3 linked regions of the Lepisosteus oculatus genome follow. The main gene of each other region encodes a partner of the protein of the gene in region 3 in a complex. Links are inferred from orthologs where the notes say so. Each region holds a gene or a part of one and is shown on either strand. Other genes may lie near its edges.

Region 1 (7,990 bases), on a different chromosome or scaffold from region 3:
TTAATAAACATCTTTGAGAAGCAGCATTTCATTACAGGGAAGCAGCAGCGAGGCTGGAGGCTTTCAGCAGCCCCCTGGGGATGACAACACCAGCCACAGACAGCAGCACACTGACCCCACTCTCACATGAACACTATGCACACAAAAGATGAGGGGGTGGGGGAGGAAGCTGGCTTATAACATCACTCCGACACTCTGTAAAACACGACGAAATTAAACGCAGGATGGCTTACAGGCCACTCCCACGACCTGAACGAGCAACACGGGTTTCGATCGATTTATCCAGAATAAATTGCAGAAGGATATGACATTGGGGGGGGGTTTCATGTCACACATCTCAAATATTTTAATTGTCAGATGTCCAGCCCTTCTGTGAGAGAGAGAGAGAAGCCAGCCAGGAGCCAGGTGGAGAGTGTGAGGGAGGAGAAGGGGCTGGGAGACTCCAAAAGACAGACGCACCACATGAAACACGTGGGCACAACCAGGCACTTCTGTAGCTCAAACATGCAGACTGGAGGCGCTGAGGCAGCTGCACATTTGGTGCACAGAGAACACAAGTGCGACAGCAGAACCGCAGCAACCGGAGAGAGTCGGACCCGGCCCCAGCCGGCGGGGAGCCCCTTGGACCGGTTTTAGTCAGGCCCAGATGTAGCCAACCACCGGGTTTGCGTCTGTACCTCAGAACAACCTTTAGAGGACAGTCAGGATCACGACAGTAACACCAATACCAAGCCAGCTAAGAGCAAGCATGGGCATCAAGGGCCTCCACACTGGAGTAACAACAGAAGTAGCCCCCTCCACCGGACATCACACAACAGCAACCTACCCCAGCCCTGCCTCTTTACAACACCAGACAGAAAGAGGGCCCACTGGACTTCCGAAGTGGAGTGTAAATTAAAGATTTGATTAAAAAAAGATGTCCATTTAGCAATGTTAAAAAAATCATACAATTTCACCTGCGAAAAACACATTTAAAAGGAGAGAGTGGGGGAGCACAGCCAGTCTCAATGAGGCGCCCTGCCGGAGAGCTGCGGACAGGTGACAGGTCAGAGACACTCCGCATGTACACCGCAAAACGCCACTTGGCCGGGCTTGACCACGGCGACGACCGACCAACCCGGCCAGCCAGCCAGCGAGGGGTGTGGGGTGGGGCTGCATGCTGATTCACAGCAAGTGACCTTCTGGGGGGGGCGCCGGTAACAACCACCCTCCACGTCCCGAACCGCAACGCCGACAGCTGCATGCAAATATCCGGAGAGCCCCCCACGCCACTCGCGGAGTGGGCTGGCCGCCCCAGCTGAGAGCCGCGTGAACAATGAAAGCGAAACCTTCAGAGATCTGCCCCCTCCGTCATCAAGGGCGCACAGATAACTCCCCCTTTTAAACAACAATTAAATAAAACAACACCTTCGTCCACTCAGCAGGGCCGTGGCAGCCCGTGAATCTGCACGAGCGGGCCCCAGGCCGGGACACCGCTGACCGTGGCGTGGATTCCCGCACAAGGGCAAGTGACCTAGAGCCGGGGCAGGAGACGACGCCCGGCGGTCATCATCATCATCATCAATTCCTGTTATTGTGATTACTGTGCTGACGATTAGTGCGCGGAGATCCAGACCCAGCCAGCCAGCCCAGGCTCTGCGCCTCAGTTTCAAGTTACACACCGCTCCTTGTTCTGCAAATGACTTACGAAACCCAAAGAAAAAGGCCGGACTCGCGTCAGCAGGCGAGATGCTGGTCCTGCCTGCTCGCAGCGGAGTTTCAACGTGGTGATGACGCATTTCAGTGACAGCTGTTTCACGACCTACCCTCCCTCCCCCCCGACAGCAGACAGCCAATTTCGCGCACACAACTACAGCCATACATACACACGGCGTGTAAATATACATGCATGTGTGCAAGCCCGTTGTAAGGCTCTTGCAATGCAATGCTCTTCCGAAAGAACCGATTTCTTTGCAAGCCAAGACTATATATATACACACACACACAACTCAGAAGATGTCGGCCGTCTCTCTCCCTCCCCAGACTCAAGTCCATGTATATGCACAGCTCAGGCTTCAAGCCTCGCACGGGTTTTTTTAAATCCCTTTAACCCAGCAAGCACATCGCGTCGCGTTTTTCCAATTTAAAAAAAGCCTTTTAAACGGCTTTGTTCTCCCCTCCCAATGAACCCCGACAAACTCGCACTCGTCCCCCTCCTCCACGGACGCTATTTTTGTTTTTCGCCACGATGGGATAATTATTTTTCAGACTACTTCAAGGAGTTTCGTTGAGGTTTTTTTTTTCTTTGCAACCTCCACATGGAAACAGACTCTTCTTTAAACAGACATCAGGAAGTTGCGAACAAGCAAACTAGTAGTAACCCTAACGCCCACGAAACACGTACAACTTCATCTAAAATATATCTATACACACACACACGTATCGCTGGAACTATGAAGTCCCAACAAAGGGAGCTACACGTCGTGAGGCCGTTTTCGGATCAGACACACGTATGTCTATATATCATCTTTTTTGTCCCCTTCGGAATTAAAAAGCCTCGCCCGGACCCACCACGACACACGAGCAGAGGATCGAAGGAAACGGAAAACACCTTCGCCGGCAGTGCAAGCCACAGACCGGAATTATTTAAAAAAAAAAAAAACAACAAGCAATTAGAGCCGAAAGATGAGACCGGCGAGCGGCAGCGGATTATACCGACGCTCACTCCTAATGGCTGCCGCCTCGCCTCACTTTCCCCGGCGCACACACGGGCCACCCCGGAGCCAGGGAAGAGGCGGGAGGAAAAGCGGGGACTCGGACTTACAAAGGGCAGGCTGCTCATTGAAATCCCGTGACAACCCCCGGAGAAAAGTGGACGTTTTACTGCCGTGACCGTTGGCTGCTGCTGCCGCCGCTGTTGTTGTCGTCGTCTGCTCCGAGCGCCGCGAGCGACCCAGCCAGCCTGCCTGCTTCCCTCCCTCTCGCGCTCGCTCGTTCCCTCCCCCCGGCGGGGAGGGGCTGCGCTCCACGTCACCCGCCGCGCCGGTGACGTACTACACACGTTAAAGCGACGGGGCGGCGCCGGCGGCCTGGGTGGCCCCAGCGCGAGGCGGGACCTCGCGTCCAAAGAAGGAAAGAAAGAAAAAGAAAACAAACAAACAAACAAAAGCGACGTAGAACATCAAACATAAAAATCACAACCACGCGGGGGAAAAAAAAGGGGCGTGTCACCTTACTGCAGCACGCTCGGTGTTGGAAAAGAAAAATTTTATTGCTGCGCTTTTAAAACTCCCGCCCTTAAAACTCGCTTGGATACAGAGGCTTTTAATCAGGTTTATTGCAGTTTGCAGTTTATTGCAGGCAGCTGTCTCTGTTGGTCTCCCTGTTGCCTTGTTTTATCGTGAAGCGCCTTCAGCTGATGAGTCATGGGTGTGTCAGAATGAACGACAGAGACCGCTTACATTTCTTCTTCATCAGGTGACTGAGGACAATAGCACCGATGTGTCACTCTGTGCAAGTGCACCGCGCACCCTATTTTCACTTACCTGTGCAACTTACACTGCGCTAATAATGCAGTGTATATATGGTAAAACGTTTGCATCAAGATCAATAAACTAGTTATTATAATTAGGTTGTCCCTCATGTGAAATAAAGCTGATGGTTTGAAATAATGGAGTTTTACTCGGCTTCGAGTGAAAGTAAAAGAGTTTGGATTCATTTCAATGGAAACTTTGTGTATTCCCACAATAACATCAAAATAAGCCCCCTTATTGTTTTAAGTTCCCAACAAGAATGCACACAGTATTTATTTGGAACCCTTTCCAATCTTTTTAGATGAGAATGAGAAAGGAAAACAATTATTTTAATCTAATTTGTTGAAAGCCTCTTGGTAATGGTTTGGCCAGGCTCTGTTTGATTTCGTATGTTAGGTTTTGGTGATATCTGGTGATATTATTTGCAATGCTGAAATGCAAGCATGGATCTTAACAAGTAGATATTAAGACATTGTAGACATGTCAGCTACTCCAGACAACATGTCTCTGGTTTGTGGGGGGAAATGGGAGAAGCCAGAGAAAACTCACATGGGGGGGTGGGGGGTGGGAGCTAGATGTTCTCCTAGGAAGAACATGCAAACTCCACCCATCTCGACTTCAACCCAGGACTGGGGGGCTGTGAGGCGCCAGGGCTATTTGCCCACTACACAACATCTTTTCTAGGACACTCTTGTGTCCCAAGAGCTTATGATACTGCCACCCACTGGGGGAAAATAAGTTATAACAAGCGAAAAAAATGAAACCCACTGTTCTGGATCCAATAGAATAAACCTTTCACAGGACATCACTTGCAAGGCACATCTGTGTTGGAATCTTGTTCGTCCCCAAATCATTGCATCATTTCTCATGACAAATACACCCCGTGTACGGGAGCCGATCGTTGGGAAATACTGTGCATGACTCTGAAGTGATACACTTGTACAGTATGTATACACTTGTACCCAGAGCTCAAACAGTCCTGTGCAGCGTGATTTAACCGCAGTCGGTTTTCATGAGTATTGTAGTCTTCTACAATGTGCACTGAAATTCAAATAAGATGGATATACAGTAAAATCCCATTCTTTTTTCGCATGCCTCAGTCAGTCATTTTTTTAAAGATATGATTTAGTCCCTGCATGCAAATTCTGCATGATTCAAACATGTCCTGCAGAATGCCTCTAGAATCTTTTATATTCTGGGGGTAAAATCTCTATCATATCCCAAAAGGCTTCTTCGGGATTCCATTATTTTTCCTGAAAAAGTCCTGCAGGATGTTCCCTGTGGGATATTTTCAGAGATCTACAAATATTTTGGCACTCTCCTGTAGGATCATATGTTTATTTATCATTTCTAGGTTTGAAGGCAGTCTGGAAGGATATTTTATGTGAGGGGAACATTTGGTGATTCAATCATTTTTTCCAGGCAAAACCAGTGAGTTAAGTCTCTTAAATTGTACTATTGCAATTCTGACTAGTTACCCTATTATAATACTACACCACACTAATGAAAATAATAATATAAGTAATAAGGAGACAAAACACATATACAAGATACTCTTTATTGATGTGGTATCAATACAATCAAGTACTGTAGTTTTAGTTTCAAAAGAAAAAAATCTTTTAAAATCACAAGAAAAACAGGAGTGCATTTTATACCCACTTCCTATTACAGACAGTGCATGTAATAGACAATTTCAAAGAAAAAACAAATATCCTATAGTTTGCTACATAGTACATTAGACAGAAAACAGAACTTACATAAAAGCAATCCTTCAAAATCAGCACCAAGGTGCACTGATTACTCATTTGAAAAATGTAGAGGCAGTCACATATCCTTTTAGCAAATACAGACTTTTTGATTTAGATATCCAGTTGTAGAATTGTTGTCATTATACAAGAAGAAACATAGTTTTACAATGTCTTGTTTTGTGCAAATGGTAATGCAATGGGCCAATTTTCTAATCCAAAAGAAAAAAATACAATATCCCTTAGGAATCTAAATAAGGCACTTTTTCTTAGCTGTATTTTCTAAAGTAGTCTTTCATTATATGAGCACTAAATACCTGCTTAAATTTGCTTTGTAACATTTACATACTTCCAGAGGGGGAAGTGACAAAAACACACAATACCATGCATCCTTCTTCATGACACCTGCTAAGAAATGGGTATGAGTAAGTTGTACAGCATGTCATTCTTGGAGTACACAAAATAAAGGAAAAACAAAAATAAAAATAAAAACCAGCATAAATAACAAGAACATGCCTTGCATTGTCTAGGAATGTCACAATAATGATCATTTACAAGCCTTTTTCGTTAACTGCAAAGTATACAACAGTGCGAGGGAGTGCAATTCGGAAATACTGGAAGGGAAATACTGTCGGACAAGCATGTATTTCTTTTAAATCAAGCTAACAGGCTTTAGAAGTTAAAGTAAATACAAAAAGAGTTAGAGCCGTATTTTTGGAACACGTATAGAGCTGAGTCTTGTGACTCGGCCACCACGGATTAGTTTTGACAGTATTATACACTTGCTTGACTCCGATCCATTAGAATGCACGCCCCGTTAGTTTAGATTGGTCGCGTTCCTTAAAAAAAAGAGTTTTTGTGAAGTTTTCCCGATGTTTGGAGGGCTGTACTTTTTTTTTTAAATCATAAGGCTCGCTTCACTGTTCAAAATCCACTTTACCGCTCACGGATTGTCCTTATAAGAACGTGGGAATCTGTTTGTTTCTTCCCCCACCACCTACAATCTATTGACTATAAACGCTTGGAAACCAGAGTCTACAGATGAAAAGATGGGGTGTAACTGAATCATTTTGGGAAGCACTCCCGTCAGTCCCGAAGCAATGCAGAGGGCTGTTGTTCTTCTCTCCAAGCTTCCTCTCACATTCTTCACTTTCATGTAAAAAGATGGTCGCGACCATCACATTGTCCCCTGTCATAATCAGCAAAAGAATACATTTGCAAGGAAGAAGGAAAACTCAACAGACATTCGCTAAAAACGTTCTATAGTACGGGGAAGTGTATTTAATAGCCTAGTTTCCATCTTACATCTCAATGGCACTAGATATGAAGTCAGAGGGATGGCGGACGAGAGGGGCCTGCGGTTCAAACAGCCTATTTGGTTTTCAGTAGCTAACTGATCCGAGACCCTCGAGCAGCTCTTTCTTGAGAGGATCTTGGCTTCGAACGCATGACTAGACATCTCACAACCCAGATATTCCTCAATGCACTGTAAACTACGCTGTAGCAAAGGGTCCTTAAATTAAGTATAGGCAATCCATTTAAGCGTTATTCACCAGCAACCTAAAAGGCGTCGACGTAGAGATTTTTCACTTTTTTTAAGCGATTACCATCTCTTTAATGGACCACAAATAAACGAAAATAAAGCTCGAAACCTAATACTGGAGTTCCCGGCAACACTGGACATGACAACGAAAGGATAAAAGCGATGGCGTTCCCCCTTGAAAAGTGCAGAAAACCTGCCTGATCTAGCTTCACCTTCCTCTAAAAAAAACCAAACTACTTTACCTCAGCTGCCGAAGCGCGTGTGCTGACGTCACAGGGTTCCCGCGGGAGCAGAGCCGCGGAAATGACTTCACCCCCTCCGGAGACTCGCCCGCGCGGAGGCTCGGTCCTGCGGTGTGAAGTCATTGCCCGCTGCTCAGAGAGGGGAGCAAGCGCGCTCCGATCCCAGCGGGAGCCGGGGTTGCTTCACGCACGACACAGACTGCTGTCGGCCCTCTCATCGAGACTTCGCTTTTCTACCGGCCGCCATGACACGAGCCAAGCGCGAGGATTTCGGTAACGTGCCGCGAAGCTGCGGGGGGACAGCACCGGAGTGTGCATTGTGCCTGGACATCACGCCTGGGAACAATCTAACTGCAGTTCACTTTATCCCATCACCCCATGGCAATGCCCACCTGCAGCGGTTTTACATTCGGTCATCATTGCGTGCGTGTGCATGTTTCTGTGATCCAGTTCCAAGTGATCCAAGGATAATTAAGGCACACGCCGTCATCCCTCTCTCAGGCCACTCTCGGTCTCGATCGGGGTCATTTCGCTGTTGCACAATCTCGACCTCCGGCCTCTGCGTCCAGGACAGAACCTGCAATCTCTTCGAGCCCTGTTGTCCCCCCCTTCGCCACTGAAGACACTACCAAGAGTACACTGGAGCTACAGCCATTGGGTTCTCCTGACACCTTCCAGCCAAGACAAGACTTTAGACTTCAAGGGAAAGAGGAGGAAGCCAAACATTGACTCAGAAGCCCTATCTTATCATCGCCCCCACATGAAAACATCTACACAAGCCAAACACTCAGGGCCATGTGGGTATTAGTCTGGACATGGTTTTAACGACCTAGTAGAAAACGTAGCACATATCAGTTTGCAAATTGAGACAAAAAATGCTAACTGTATTGACTCTTAACTCTCATGCCTTTGAAAATTGTAGGATGGTATTCTGTCTCTGCCAAAACA
Region 2 (7,823 bases), on a different chromosome or scaffold from region 3:
ACTTCTAAAATAATGCCCTTCATTTCAGTCAAAAGAAAACACAATATTCACTATGACAACTCTCCACGTTTACATTATACTACAGGTAAGAGGTGGCAATTTCCATTACTTTAAGAGGACGCCGCCAATTTGGTTCCAGTCACAGAAATGAAAGACGACCCTTTAAAATTAGGATGACTTCATACGAACAGCCCTGAATTAACTTTTTATAAATCTCAATACATTTGTTGTTTTTTTTAAGGAAGAAATACCGTATAAAACAGAACTGATTTTTAATTAAAGCATTTTACACACAAAAAAAGAGGTGAAATCCCAGCACTACGTTTGTCACTCCTGGACATAAACCTTCAATTTCATGAAAGACTGAATTCTCCTGTGTCACAAGTTCTGTTGCTGATAATTTGGACCTCTTTGGTTCAAATCACCCCATTCTTCTAAACCTCTCGTGAGACCTTCCAATTTAACATAAGGAACTACAATACACCAGGTCTTCCAAAATGACGTACTGGCTGTCGGAGATGAAAACAATCTTGCAACAAAAGAGTAATGTACGTTCATTTACATTGACATGAGTTTTTCTCCAAGCCTGTATGAAAAACAGGATGTGGTTGGTGAAAAACTGTAGTTTCTCATTTTGTGTGCTTTTCATTTAGAAGCCCCTGGAAACACCTGGTTACAGATACATTTGATCTGATTCTGTTCAAACAATATTTGACAAACGAAGGCACAGAGCACTGTGTAGTGGAAATGGCAATATTTCCTTTAACCACGATGAGGAGGACGTATTCTACCTTTGACTAGACAGGAAAGGCTGTTTCTTTATTTCCCTCCTAAAGTCTACATTTCACTCTTATTTTTAACCCGAACCCAGAGGAAGGTTTTTAGGATAGACCTAGGCTCCATGTTTGATTACTGAGAGAGGAGAGAAAAAGCCCACTGTGTAACCTGTTCCAGTCATTTGGAACCAGGAATCAATCTCAAAGTCCCAAACAATGTAAAACGGCAATCACCGAAAACTAATCACAAAGTTTAACGTTAACACAGGCCTATTTCTCTCTGTTAATCTCAGTGCTCTTGAATAATAACTGTTAAAGTCTGAGAAGATCTTTGGCCCACTTCATCCAAGGCACTGTACTACAACTACTTTAATTTTTTCCTAGTTCTAGAGAAACAAAACACTGCTGTATCTGGGACATGCAGTATAAGTCAGCCTATATAATAAGGTGCTAGCAAACATGTAAAAATATGAAGTGTTTTATATCTTTCATTTTTAAAATACATAACCACAAAGGAAAGCTCTAATTAAGGAATGTGTGCATTTTAAAAATACAGGTGGTTGTTGTGGGCACTCTCCTTAGTGGACTTGATTTTTTTAGAATTAAAATGCAATTAGTTAACAAATTAACATATTCAGAAGTCTGCAGAGCATTGTTTCTCTTCCTGGCATTTCAAACAACAAGATGATTTTCCTAGCTGAGACTGGGCACTTACATAGACTTACTTAAAATAGTTTGCAATGCAACAGTCAAAGCAAGTGTGGAAATCTATTATGACTGAAATAAATTGTATTAAAAGCATTCCCTTGTGGGAAAATGATAATCCATCATCCAATACTAACTAACTGTTTATCTGAAGACTTCAAATATAGGTGCCTTAAATATGATAAATTAACAAAATAACATTCTAATACCCATACAACAAAAAACTCCTTTTTCCATTTTCCTATCTGCAGTAGAAAAAGTGAGAATAGATCGACAATACTAAAATTTTCACTCGTTTTTATTGACATTATCCAACCGTAATTATCATTGTTCTCCCATTTTGTCATACTGAGAAACAGCTGTTACTCAAATTAATCTACCACTTGTTTACTTTTACAAAATCTACAATGAAACGTTTTAAACAGATTTAGAGTTTACCACATTAAAAAATATATAGGGCATGCTGTAATACAATATGTACGTCTGCTGTCTTTTGTTTTAATTGCTTTTTTCTTCTTTCTGGTAAAAGAGCTACAACAAGGTCTCAAAAATTAATTTTCTACTAACCTTGCCAACACCAAAGTCACACGCTTTCCATAAAAAGGAAAACGCCTTTATCTGTTTTTGTTGGGGAGGATTGTCGATTAACGTTTTAAAATATACAGCCGTTTAGACAGAAAATATTGTAAATTCTGTATTGTATTAGACCTACATCTCACCACACTGCCTTTATCTGTATTTCTCCCTACTGTAATAGACATCTCCATTGTTTCATCACAAACGGATTGAGATTCATCTTTCTACACTTGAAAGGCGAGCAATTTATATTGCAGCACATTTTTATGAATCTACCGGCTAATTAGCACTCATCTGTTAATTATAGTGGAGTCAGTGCAATAGCTTTATCGCCTGCAGACACCCTTTGTAATGAGCATTGCACGTTCTTTGTTTCCGGTAAGGACCCTTTCTTTGTAGGTTAAACGGTTCCTTTGACCTGAGTATTTCCAATTTCTCATTTTCAACATTGTCCTTTCCTGGATCGGTGCAGATAACGTGGAGAATCTATATTGGCTAAATTATTTTCATCATTCCCTTAAACCTGTTGCCTTCACCCCCCAGCACGCCGGATTCAAACCAAGCAGTCGGATGTGTTGTTTTAACAATCGGTAAAAAAAAAAAGACATTTGCACATCGCATTCACCGGAACATACAAGAACCATCTTCTCGGAAGAAGACATGCAAAAGTACATTTTCTGCATATACAATACTGGCCCTGAATCAAATCCGAGCAGCCACGATCTGCTCGTCCGAGACTCAGAGCCAGGTATTCACACTCCCTTCTTTCCTCCAGGAGAGGAGATCTTCCTACTCACCAATGCCAAATACGGAAAACGTCTTTTCTTTTCTTCCTCCCCACCAAAATACTCTCCCTTCTATTTTAAATTGTGCATTCAGACATACTACACAATATCGCATGAGCTAGTCATAGGGCAGCATAGCGAAACTCGGTCCATGTGATTTCAGAAGCAAAATTACATTTTTGTCCCTCCTCCCGTCTCCATGGGGACGCGCTTTGTCATCATGCTGCGTAGTTGCAAAGAGCAGTGTTGGGCGGACTCAAGAAATTGGCGGCGGGATTAAACGTCTGGTGAAATAGCGGTTTCCTCGGCAGTTCGTCCCAAAACAGCATTATTGGGAGCTATTTTATTCTCGGGTGTTTACAATACTCCAAGACAATTCACTATTCATTTTGAACGTGTGAGCCAAATTGTCTTTTAAGGCCATTTTAACGAGATCGGTGCTCTTGAGGGAGATATAACTCGGAGTAATATTGCGGAATTAAATATATGTATATATCGGTTCTTGAGGATGAAAATGATGCAAATATTCAAGACAAAATTAATTCTGCGAAAGGTTAATTAACTCAGGCGTCTACCAAACTACTCGTGATTAGGAGACGCTTCTTAACATCTAAGATGTAATTACACAGTAGCAGCACACAAAGGAAAAAGGGAAAATAAAAGTTTAGCGGAATAAGCAAGATGCAGAGGATTTATTGGTAATGACAATTAAATTCACAACGCTCCGATAATCAGATTAAAATTGAAACAAGCACAAACGCACAAATTTACTTTCCAATCAAGGTTATAGCAAACACTATCTTACACGGATTTCTTCCGATGAATATTTAAACCCAGTGCTAATATACGTTACCTAATTACATAACACTACAAGGTTAATGGAAAAAATGAACTCAATTTAAAATCCAAATGCATTGAACACTGAAAATTTAACAAATACGTCAAAGAGGTCATAAGATGATTGAACTGGGAAAACAGTTGAAAATAAAATGCAACAAAACTTAAAGATTAGACCAGAAAAAGCAGAATGTGGCAATAAATGGAGACGATGTAACCATAGTCAAAAGCCCCAAAGTTATTGTCAAGAAAAATGAATGCCAAAAAAGAGCTCTTAACAACAATATAGTGCAAATGAAGATCAAACAGATTTCACCTGGTCACGGATGAAGTACTGGATGTTTTTTTTTTTTCTGGAAGGAGTAAAACATGCAGTCAAGCAAATATAGAATAGGAAATTACTGACGGATGAAGTATTGAGTGGCGTTATAAAAAGAAGAGGACTACTGTATAAAGACACATTGGCACAGGTTTCTACTAAGTGTATGGGGGAAAACAGGGGATCACTGTTGTGATACCTTTACACAAAAATTGATCACCACCTTGTAAATCTCCAGGATTACTTTCTTTTTAAATTAAACACCCGCCCCCAACTGCAGTATCCAGTTCAGGGAATAAGCAGAGAATTCCAGAGAATTGAATAAGTACCATGGACCGCCCTTCAAACACGAAGAATGGGTTGTAGTTTTGAACTCCAGATTTATTGATTAGAAGTATTTTGTAAGGATCTCTAAAGCATGAAAGTACTGAGAAAACTACACTGATCTAGTCAGTATCATTTATTATTACAGAGGTGCCAAAGCTGCACAAGGGGTTAGGGCTAAGGATAGAGAAAGATGATAAACCCTTTTACAGCCACAATGGAGTGCTTTAAGATGCTTGATTGGGAAGACAGGCCAGAACATTAATAGAGCCACTTTAAATGCAAACTTCAATATAGTGTCATATATTTCTATAGTGTAATATAGAAACTTCATAATAGAGTCATAAAATCCAGAAGGATTAGTAATACAATTAAAGTGTAGTGTACACAGTATGAAAATGGTTTTAAGCTACTGTTACATGCAACTCATCAGGTCAGAACTTTTATACTGTGATCTGTTACACTGGAAACAGTGGAACTAATTCAGTGCTGAATTCATCCAAAATGATATAAAATGAAATTAAAAGGTATACATATACCAACACACATACACACTTCAAAGATAATAACTAGAAGAATTTAGTTATAAATGGTATTAATTGACCACTACACCTCACATATTAAAAATGTACACATAATGTCTGCATTCCAATGTACATTTTCAATAAATAAAAAGATTTTTAATAAAATGACTCTCATCCAGATAATGACATTGAATCAGAATTAGCCAGGGAATGATCTTTTATGATGATCCCTTCATTACTTTTATGAGGCTTCAGAGTCTGTCAGCAGAGCCTAATGAGGCCTTAAATCAGCCACCAAAATGAAATTCAAACACTTGTTAATTAATACCCCTTCCAGCTGCCTAAGTAATGTAAAGCATTCTAGCCAGGACTACCTTCACACTCATGCTATAATACTTAATGTCTGTTTTCCCCGTTATGTAACTCCAGAAGCTGCAACATATGTTAGAAACTTAAGTTTTGCTTTACAATTTAGCGTTATTTAATTTTTTCCCCCCCATCACTTTAGTTAAAACTGTCTATAACCTTTTAAGGAATCAAGTGTTTATACTTGCCCAGTTTGGTATTTTTAGTATATGGAAGGAAATACTTTGATTCATTTCTGTTCAGTTTCTTGTTTTATCCTTCAAGGGTTGCATTAAGCCTGAACATAACCTGGCAGTCACAAGACCACAAGAAATGACTCCTTCTCCACACAGTCACACCAAATTGTCCCTGTGCTAATTAACTTGGAAAGCAGGTATTTGGAATGTGAGGAGGCACCTGGAAAAAACCCTTGTGTTGGCACCTTCATCCTTCAAACTCCACAAAAAGGTCAGAACTGGACCCAGGATCCAAGAGCCACGAGAGACCAGTGCCAAGCACCCTGCCACCAGTGGCAGGGAATTAATCTGTAAGCAATGAAAACAATGCTGGGAGACCTGAATTGGCGCATAGTGCAAATCACATGACCACATCACTTTCAATAGCCACTCATCCAATTCAGACTCACAGTGTCCAAGTGCCTGTCCCAGCATGCACTGGGCACAAGGTGGGGTACACCCTGAACGGCACACAGAAACGCACACACTCACTCCATGTTTACAGAAACCAATTAACCCTTCAGTATGTCTCTAGACTGTGGGAGAAAGCTGGAGCAACTGGACAAAACATGCAAACACTGGGAGAACATGCAAATCTCATGCACAATAGCACCCCAAGACCACAATGCCACCCCATTGTTGCTTAACTACTGAAGTTTATCACAGAATGTTAGGGATCTCAAGGAGCTGGGTAAACATGATCAAAATCACTTGAATTTGTCACTTTGGTAGAATATCAATATTAAAAGACATGATAATTATTGAATTACAGTTATAAAGAGAACATTGTATCTTAGGGACTTATATTTGTGCATTATAAATCCTATACAGCAGTGTGAAATAGTGGTTAGGTTTCCTGAATGGTATTAGGCCCACATCCTGAGTGAGGCATTGGTGTTTGACTAGAATTTCACTCAGATTCCTCCAAAAAATATTAAGATAAATATGTACAAATTTAAGACCCTTTGGAATTTGAAAGTCACCAGCCACATAAGACCCAGGTATTTTTTTTTACTTTGGACTGTCTGCATCTATAAAAACGTAGCTGTAGTGGAATCCATGTTCAAATTAGATCAGTAATTTTTCAGTATAACATTGACTCACAAATTAATAAAGATCAGAGCAAATCAGAAACATGGTAGTGCTTGAGAAGATACTGAACAGTAAATTTAGTTTATTACTCACATCCACCAGTGAAGTAGTGCCATCTAGTGTCTGTTGCACCTGAATATCTAAATGTATTCACATATCAAAGTATGCAGTATATATATATATCCTCATTATATCTTTAACTTGTTTTCATTATTGGGTGGAATTCTGGTGTAACCCAAAGCTCATAGCATAATCAGTTTTTCTTTTTATGAACAAAGTATATGCATTTAATTCTTAATAAAACTAATCTGCACAAGGATTTGTATTGATCTTGTTTTAGTACAGGGGGTTTCATTTATGGATGCTCACATGAGAGAAATTTAAAGCAACATTCAGCCTAGGATGTGAAAAACGTGGTTTATTTTCCCATGTGCCAGAGGTGTAACATTAAAAATCTTGTAAACTCTCATCTTCAGAAATATCCAATAGAAACTGAAAGGGAAGACAAATTTCACTCAAACGGTTCCGATTAAACATGCCCTAACATCTCCTAAAACTATATGCTTAGGTCAGCTGCGTTTTCTCATGTATTAATGTAGTTTATCTAATAAAAAAAAACATAAGTTTTTTGTCTTAACACAAACAGTGCTCGTCTCACCAGACCAAAACTAAAAGTTTCCAAATTGCAATTTGTTTGATATAACAAAATACAAAACATATATACAAATAAATAAGAAGCTTTGTTTCACTTCTATTACACTGGAATACTGAATATACTGTTACAGTATCTATTTCTTTTCTAACCACTTTATCCATTATAGGTTTGCAGGGGAGCCAGAGCCTGTTCTCAGCATGTAATGTGCGCCAGGCAGACAAACACACACTCACACCAGGGCCACTTTCCCCAGATAAAAATTAACCTGCCACTGTGGGATGAAACCGACACGAACACGAGGAGAACATACAGACTCCACACAGATAGCGTCCCAGGAACTGAACACAGAGCTCCAGAGCGGAGGCAACAATGTAAACCATTGCACCACTGTACATTCTGGTATATATTCATTATATTTTGCCTATATTTAAGATTCATTGCTGTAGCACCTTAATTAGGAATTTGCCTCAGTGTCCTAACATTTAAAAGCATTAAACACAACCTAACATAAAACCATAAGGTAACAAAGAATCTCATACAATATTCAAATAAAATGAAATAACTGGTGTATTAAAGGAGTTTATATTTACATTGTCAATAGTCATAAGATACTAATGTGTAATTGGAAAGCTGTTCAGTATCTATACAT
Region 3 (7,599 bases):
GGGGCAGCGATCGACACCTGTCGTTGAAACTCTAGACCAGCAGCGCCTGCAAGGTATGAATCGATTGCACAGTGCCAGCTCATTAAGAACAGATTTTGACATTGATATTTTTCAAACAAATTACTGAAAAGCACAACATGGTGAATACTAGTAAAACCACAGACTGAGCATCCGTTCTCATCAACAGCAAAAACTGCCCGTGAGGGGACAAACGGATCTTAATGTTGGCCTTCATAGATCAACATACTGTATAGTAAAAACACAGACTTCAGCAAAGGTAAAACCATACAGCAATGACCTAAACTCTGCACAACAATCCACACATTTTCTAACCACTTTATCCTATACAGGGTCAAGGGGGAGCCAAAGTCTATCCCAGCAAGCAATGGGCACAAGGCAGGATACTCCCTGGACAGGACACCAGTCCATCACAGGGCACACACACTCACACCAGGGTCAATCTTCCCAGAAGCCAATGAATCTACCAGTATGTCTTTGGACTGCGAGAGGAAACCAGAGCACCTGGAGAAAACCCCCAAGACCAGTTTGAGGGGGACATACAAACTCCACGCAGACAGCAACCCAGAAGTGGAACCCAGGGCCCCAGCGCTGCGCACCGTGCCACCCCCTAAGGCAGGAGTCCCACGATTACTTGACAGACATCCTCCAAGGAAGGTCTAGCATGGTTACAAGAGCAAGCAATCGCTATCCTGGCCCAATCAGTAGACTAGGCAGAGTGGGAGTTAGTGGCTGTGGCGTGCGATCGTAACGTTCTACGAGGTTCCGCTCCCGAGTCGGGCCTGAACCCCATTCATTCTCCATCACAATCTCAAAGGGGGGAGGAGTGACCCACAGGGATCAGACCTGAATCAGACAGGCTGCACCTGTGACCCCCCCTCAGCTGGCAGCCAGATAGTTCTGCAACTCTCACCACTGTGCTGCACGAGTGAAGCCTGGTGATGCAACCTGCTCACTGCGCTTACTGGACACAAGGCGGACAGGCCTTCTGAGTGCCTACGCTACTGCCCGGGGTCCACGCTAGAGAGTTTCAATCCCCGCCACTCTGTCCTCGAGGCCTTGGCGTTGGCTGGCTGGCCCGGATTCTACCTTGCTGCTGCCCTCCCAGACTGCAGGGGGCGCCGGGCGGGCGGACCCAGAGGGTGCACAGCGGCAACCCTACCTTTCTTGAACTCCTCCAGCATGGCGTCCAGCTTGGTGTCGTTGAAGACGAAGTGCAGCGGGTGGTTGTAGAACTTGGTGATGGTGCTCATGGGCGTGCGGTCCTCCGGGTCCACCAGGGCCAGGTCCTTGAGGTACAGGATGTCCACGATGTTGGAGCGCTCGTCCTCGTAGATGGGCACCCGGGTGTAGCCGCTCTGCATGATCTCGGACATGGTGTTGAAGTCCAGCACAGCGCCGGAGGACAGCATGAAGCAGTCCTTCAGGGGCGTCAGGATGTCCTCCACCGTCTTGGTCCGCAGCGCCCCCCGGCTGAACTCCTCCTTCACGAACTCGTTGTAGGGGTCGCTGGTCCTCATCATCTCCATGACCTTCTCCCGCACGTGGCACGAGCTGACGTCCCTGCCCAGTGCCAGGTCCAGCAGGAGCCCCAGGGGGCAGGACAGCGGGCAGGTCAGGACCATGCACGCCTGCCCCAGCCACGCCACCCCCGGGGCCAGCTGGAACCCGCAGCCGGAGCACAGAACGTGAGGCAGCAGCCCGCTGATGACGAACACCAGGAGCCCGCAGAGGAAGACGGCGGGGAGCAGGGCGCCCAGGGCTCGGTAGAAGAGCACGCCGAGAGCGGAGTAGCCCAGGGCGCACAGAAAGAGCAGCGAGCACAGGAGAAAGTTACCCCGCCGGCGCAGGGGCTCCAGCCGCTTCGCCGTTTTCTTCTCCCGCTCGGACCCGCAGGTGTGCAGCACGTACAGTTCCAGCGGGTCCAGCCCCAGCAGGCTCAGCTTCAGAATCTGGAACAGGGCGCAGGCGAAGAGCAGGAGGACGATGGCCAAAGCCAAACCCCAGACCGGGATGAAATCGGGCTGCGGGTCGTCTGCTAGAACCAGCCTATCCTGGCCAGCCGTAACCCATCTGACGCCGTCCCGGGCGCACAAGCGATGATAAGAACTCCTGGCGTGCTCACCGGAGATGCTGCTGCTTTCTGCAGCCTGCACGGTTATTAGGGCGCTGTGCTCCTCGGCCTCTAGAAATGGCCCCCGGAGTTGAAAGAGAGCCGAGCTCCGTCCGCTCTCGTCTTTGCACGGGTCGGTGGCACCGCCATCCTCCCCTTCTGCTTCCTCCGCGAACGCAACCCACGGCCAGGTCTCATTAAGCAGGTAAGACCCGAAGAGCCTCAGCTGGAAAGTAGCTCCGTAATGTGCTGTTATGACCCGGTGGCGCATGAACACCAGCGCCCCCGGGTCCTCCAGCCTCAGCCCCAACACCCGCGGAGCTTGTTGGCTGCAGGCGCCGAACCCCAACCCGCAGAGGAACAAATTAATCAACGAGAAACTTAAGCCTGCCAAGCTGGCCACCATATTGGAATTGGGCAGCTGGGCTCTGTGCGAGTCATGTGACACCATCTCGGCGTTACACCGTATCAGTCCAGAGGAAGATTCGTCAAGAAGCACATCTTATTTTGTGGAACTCTTTCATTTTTATCACCATTTTGGATCCGAAATCTCCGACAGCGGACAAACGACTCACTCCTTCACTGTTTGAGCCACAATGGCACCCGGACTTCAATTCCTTTGACACGCTTGCTAACAACAGCCAATGAGAGGAAGATGGAAAACTGAAAACCAATAGAAAGACAGAAGGAATTTTGACGACCAATAGAAACAGGGAAAGGGCATTCTGCACCCTCCTCCCTTTGTCAAGTTCGGTGTCGCTGTGTTGTAAACAAGTCGTGTTGCTGCAGTCTCGGGGTCAAGCTTGGATCCTGCATTTAAAGGCGCGGCGTGTGTTTTTCTTGTGTGCTTTTTTTAAAAAAAATCAATCTTCATCTGTTTTCCATAATTATTTCCAGAAATAAAAACGCAACTTTCATGAACATTTAAACACAAGTTAGGACACATACTACAACAGGCCAGGAACGAGCTCTCGGTTCGTTTAGCGATCTTGATTTCTACGTTTGCGTCGCAGACGCCCTTCTGAGCTGTTTTGCCCGTTCATCTGCGAGGTCCTGGTCCACGGTTTGGCAAAGAGATCTCAGAGTTTTAATCCTCCCCATCTGACTTCTTTTTGCAGATGCAATCTGTAAGGAAGTCAGTTTTCATTTTCATGCATGACCGTGCAGAACGCAGCCCTTCTGATGCTGTATCATGTACTGAATATTACATGGGTGGATGCTGCACATTGGTGGTGGTGGAGGGGAGTCCCCATTACCTGTAAAGCGCTTTGAGGAGTGTCCAGAAAAGCGCTATATAAGTGTAAGCAATTATTAATATTATTGTAACGCAACGGGGGCTCAGGCGGGCGCCCTTGCCGCATCTGTTCGGCCCCGGCACCGTCCGGGGCTCGAACCCGGGACTCCTTCGTCTCTCTGCAGCGACCTAGCCCCGTGAGCCAAAGAGAGATCTCTCCCCAGCCCAGTAGCTGTGGTCCTGCTATCACAGGGAAGGGCGGTGACATCACCTGCTCTGGTACGCCGGCTCTTACACAGTGCCTGTCGGCCGTAAGCGTTACATTATTATTATTAAAAGATTTAGGAAAGGGGTGTTTGGAAGTTTTAGTAGAGATATTTGACGAGTTGGGAGAACCAGTTTTGTAGTACTGGAGCTGCCGACTCCCAACGGAGATCGTACAAAGTATCTCAAAGTCACTTGATGTTTTTATAATGGAAACATTTTTAGTGGAGTGTTCATGAACTACATCTCTGTTTTATAAAGGTACGATCATCACCATTATTGATTAGGCTAATTTCATTGAGGGGTAAAAAAAAAACAAACATTTTAAAATATTTTGCAACTCTTTGTCTTTGATACGCTGCACCGTTACTACGGATACTGGAAATGATTCCCATTTTCAATTTCTTGCGACATTTAGTTGCGGTTCCCTTCCCCAAACGCCGTTATTGCTGACCACATTGTTCGTGTTATTGAAGCTGGATAATGTGATGTACTCTATATTATGCTTGCAAATTAAATTTAAATCCCGTGGTAAATGGAAATGTTCCGTAAACTGCAAGGCAGACGGTGACGTTTACAACTTTCGCATACATAACTCCCTACTCAGTCTTCCGAAAACTATCATTACGGCTTAAAACACTAACCCATGTTACCACCTTGAGGCGCTGCGATGTTCGCTGGGTTAATAGTTTCAAGGCCTGTGGCGCACAATTCTTAACTCAGAGAGGGCACTCAGACATTACCAGAGCCGAGTAGCTCTAGACTGTAACAGGGAGAAAAAGTCCTAAAACCCTGATTATATAGGCTGGAAGACAAAAAAAAATAAATAAGATAGTTACATCTTCACAGAGGCAACATATAATGCCTCTCACGGCGCTTTATAACATCTTTGTTTCCATAAGACAAGTCCGGTCAAGAAGTATTTCCAATGACATCTCAAGTCAAAACCCGACTCTATCCCTAAAACATACTACGAACACTTCTATGATAAACATTCTGTATTATTGCGCATATATTTACTTTTTTACGTCTGTGTATTGAACAGTCATAAACTAATATGAATCTTTCATAGCGTCGTGTAGCCTCTTTGAAGCCGTGACACAGATGTCGTATCCAATTCGGCAACCCGTGGATACACCAATCTTGTGTATTCCCTTCCGAAATGCGCTCCGCATAACTTTCTAAAAACTAATGATATCGACGGGGACGTTTTTGGTCGTGATTTGAGTAATGTAAAAAATGACCGGAATGAAGGTTTACTTCATCTCTACACAAGACAGGTGAGCCCCAAAGAAGGCACGCAAGGGCATGTTTTGTCCTTATCTGTTACATATGCGTCATATATACTGTATGTGGATGATGAAAAAAATCACGCGGATGGTGGAAAGACTTTCATGGGTATCGGGGGGGATACTGAATTGATACGGCGCTTGTTCGGCAACAGAAGTAAGAAAATACTACAGCGCTGCACGAAGGGTCCGCAGAAGCAGCCGGAGTCAGTCATGGCCACAGGAGAAAATAACTCTGGCAGCGCTGATGGCTCTGCCTAACGCTGGGACAATGACAACATTTACTTCACACAGCAGCAACAACAGACGTCGCCGAGGAAGGATGCCGTTTGACACCGCAACCCACGCGTGAATCGCTCACCGTTTGTATCCCGTGGCGTGGATTGTCTTCAGCGCGTTGCCTGGCTACTTCTCAGGCCAGACCGGGTTTTGTTTTTACACAAACACCCGCAACCAAAACATCACGTATTGTGACTGGGTCCTCATCAGTTCCGAGAAAACCTGGATTTATTGTGCCGTTTCCCTGCTTGTACAAATCATGCGACACCTTTAATACCACAGAGTTTTTTCTTTGATACTGCGGTTGCCGCGGGGTGACAAAAGTTGTTGTAGGAGAGCGGTTTGGGGGGGTTGTTTACTTAAGTTACACATATGTGTTTTGTCAGGGTTTGACCCTAGCGCAAACTGGACAGCAGACGACAATCTGCACAGATTAAGTGATGCAGTTCGCCTGGACACCCGTTGGTTACCACACGATCAGAGCCGACGCGTGAGACAGTGTGCGGGTGCTGACCAGGTTGGGACTGGACCTCTGGGCCAGCGAGGACAGATGAAGGACACAGGAAGGAGGGACAGAGGACTGTGACACCTGGTCATCTGCATGCAGTTGGATACACCAACCCCACTTACCCATCGCCTCATGATCACTGGCCAGAAAGAGGCCATATGAGTGACCACAATCTGGCCATAGTAACTGGGCAACAAAGACAGACCTGGCTGCCCAGAAAGAACAGGCTGTGCTCCCACTGCCAGCTGGGAGAAATAGAGACAGAGATGTACTTTCAACTGCGCTGTGAGAAACACTCAGGGATCAGACAAACGTTCTTCCCCCAAATAAATCTAATCCCAGAATTCCTGCACCTCAACTCAACAGAGCTGGCTGAGGAACAGAGGGTGAGCCTGTCTCCCAGTCATGCTCTATGTGCTGCTTGTTGTACGTACATGTCCTACAATGTGTTTGTATTGTAAATGTCTCTAGATGTCGTGTCGGTCGTACTTGCTTTGGCAACACTGTAACTCATCGGTCATGCTAATAAAGCTGTTTGAATTTGAAACTGAACATATGAGCCTCAGCCAGTGCAGGCTGGGCCGCTTGCTGTACGCTCCCACCACCCTTTGGGTAAAGTAGTCCCTCCTGTTCTCAGTTTTAAATACAGATAAATGTATCTGGTTGCTCTTCTCTGGACAGATTCAGTGCAGCAACAACCTCTTTATAACATGGCAACTAAAATTTGACATCAGTTTAATATTAGCATAATATTCTAAATGACGTCTGATTTTATGTTATACAATTTTAGCATAACATCCCTTGATTTCAATTCTCTGTTTTTGCTAAAAATACGAACTTTATCTCGCCTTTTTAATTGCTTCCCCACATTGTCTAGAGACTAGAAGATGTGGATGATGTGTCAACATGAACATCTATGCCTGTTTCATAGCCTTTTCTATTGTAGCTCTGTAGAGTTTTACTATCTGCTTGCAAAACCCCCCCACTTGTCTACATTCAGCATCATCGGGCAGGTGTTGGCCCAGGGGTGAATTTTATCTGAGGCTTTTTGAATTTCATTTTCTGCTTCTGCAGTGAAACAGACAGGGCACTGAGGTCTGCACAGTGAGTGAACTGGAGTTTTCCATGTAACCGGAGCCCTCCTATTCATACTGTACCACCCTGTTATCTGGGTGCTCTTTCCTGATAGCCAAGGGTGCAAGATAGCAGCAGAGACAGACGTAAGAAACACAATCGAATATTAATAGAGAAATATATCACGTTTATTAATAAACTTTTCTTCTTCAAAATGTGTTAAGACAGCAATTATAAAACAATATGTACACATTATTTAAAGCATGCCAAAGTAACAGAGGGGAGAAAATGTCAACTTCAAATACCTCTCCTCACCCCCCCCCACCCACATAAAAATAAAAAACAGCATTTGTAATCACAAAATACGATTGTTCGTCACAGTTATTGACACGGTGTTCTGAAATACAAAGGTAACAGTACTGAGAATTGTCATCACTCATAAACTGTGTGCCACAAACACTTTAATCTGGATAAAACATTACCATCATTCATGTTTAACAAAACAGGAGGAATGTTAATCATTCATGTTGTTTCCTGAAGGGGAAATACTGTACCTATACATAGCTAATTTGGTTTTGCAAAACTAGGCCAGATTCTTTGGCAGAGAGAACGGGTGGGCAACAGGTCAGGGCTGAGACAGCTGTTCCACTGGCTTCTCTTCCCCTCCAGCCCAGAGCAGTTTACACAACAGGAGGACAGGCAAGAAAAGCCGATGTCCTAGCACTGGCATACTGACACTGTTCGCACAGGGCCTACTGGTTTTCAGTGCTCGTTTAAGCACTTTAATGAATGCACATCGTTATTCAAAGTCTTTGACTGG

What was found. Proteins that work in one complex are often made in the same cells at the same time.
Region 1: the proteins of metal transporter CNNM3 (region 3) and ptp4a2b are in contact, whole or in part, in a crystal structure (PDB 5K25), measured with the Homo sapiens proteins. The link is inferred for Lepisosteus oculatus from reciprocal best matches to the Homo sapiens genes CNNM3 and PTP4A2. Residues at the interface, in NP_060093.3 of Homo sapiens: Leu390, His391, Phe392, Val393, Phe394, Asp396, Thr397, Glu405, Ala414, Gln417, Val419, Glu424, Gly425, Asp426, Pro427, Phe428, Tyr429; in NP_001356788.1 of Homo sapiens: Met1, Asn2, Arg3, Pro4, Asp69, Gly70, Cys101, Ala103, Leu105, Gly106, Arg107, Arg134, Arg135, Gly136, Ala137, Phe138, Asn139, Lys141, Gln142.
Region 2: the proteins of metal transporter CNNM3 (region 3) and ptp4a3b are in contact, whole or in part, in a crystal structure (PDB 5TSR), measured with the Homo sapiens proteins. The link is inferred for Lepisosteus oculatus from reciprocal best matches to the Homo sapiens genes CNNM3 and PTP4A3. Residues at the interface, in NP_060093.3 of Homo sapiens: Ser357, Asn358, Phe394, Asp396, Lys418, Val419, Asn421, Glu424, Gly425, Asp426, Pro427, Phe428, Tyr429; in NP_001425170.1 of Homo sapiens: Asn5, Pro7, Asp72, Gly73, Ala74, Val105, Ala106, Leu108, Gly109, Arg110, Arg137, Arg138, Gly139, Ala140, Ile141, Asn142, Lys144, Gln145.

What each region holds. Positions count from the first base shown.
Region 1 is NC_090706.1:1,404,793-1,412,782, forward strand, and holds the start of ptp4a2b (protein tyrosine phosphatase type IVA 2), read right to left. Parts: upstream 3,004-7,990; 5' UTR 2,804-3,003; intron 1-2,803.
Region 2 is NC_090705.1:32,846,886-32,854,708, reverse strand, and holds the start of ptp4a3b (protein tyrosine phosphatase type IVA 3), read right to left. Parts: upstream 3,004-7,823; 5' UTR 2,855-3,003; intron 2,138-2,854; exon of another isoform or gene 2,049-2,137; intron 1-2,048. UniProt on the Homo sapiens protein: Protein tyrosine phosphatase which stimulates progression from G1 into S phase during mitosis. Enhances cell proliferation, cell motility and invasive activity, and promotes cancer metastasis.
Region 3 is NC_090697.1:69,772,904-69,780,502, reverse strand, and holds the start of metal transporter CNNM3, read right to left. Parts: upstream 3,007-7,599; 5' UTR 2,583-3,006; coding exon 1,181-2,582; intron 1-1,180. UniProt on the Homo sapiens protein: Probable metal transporter.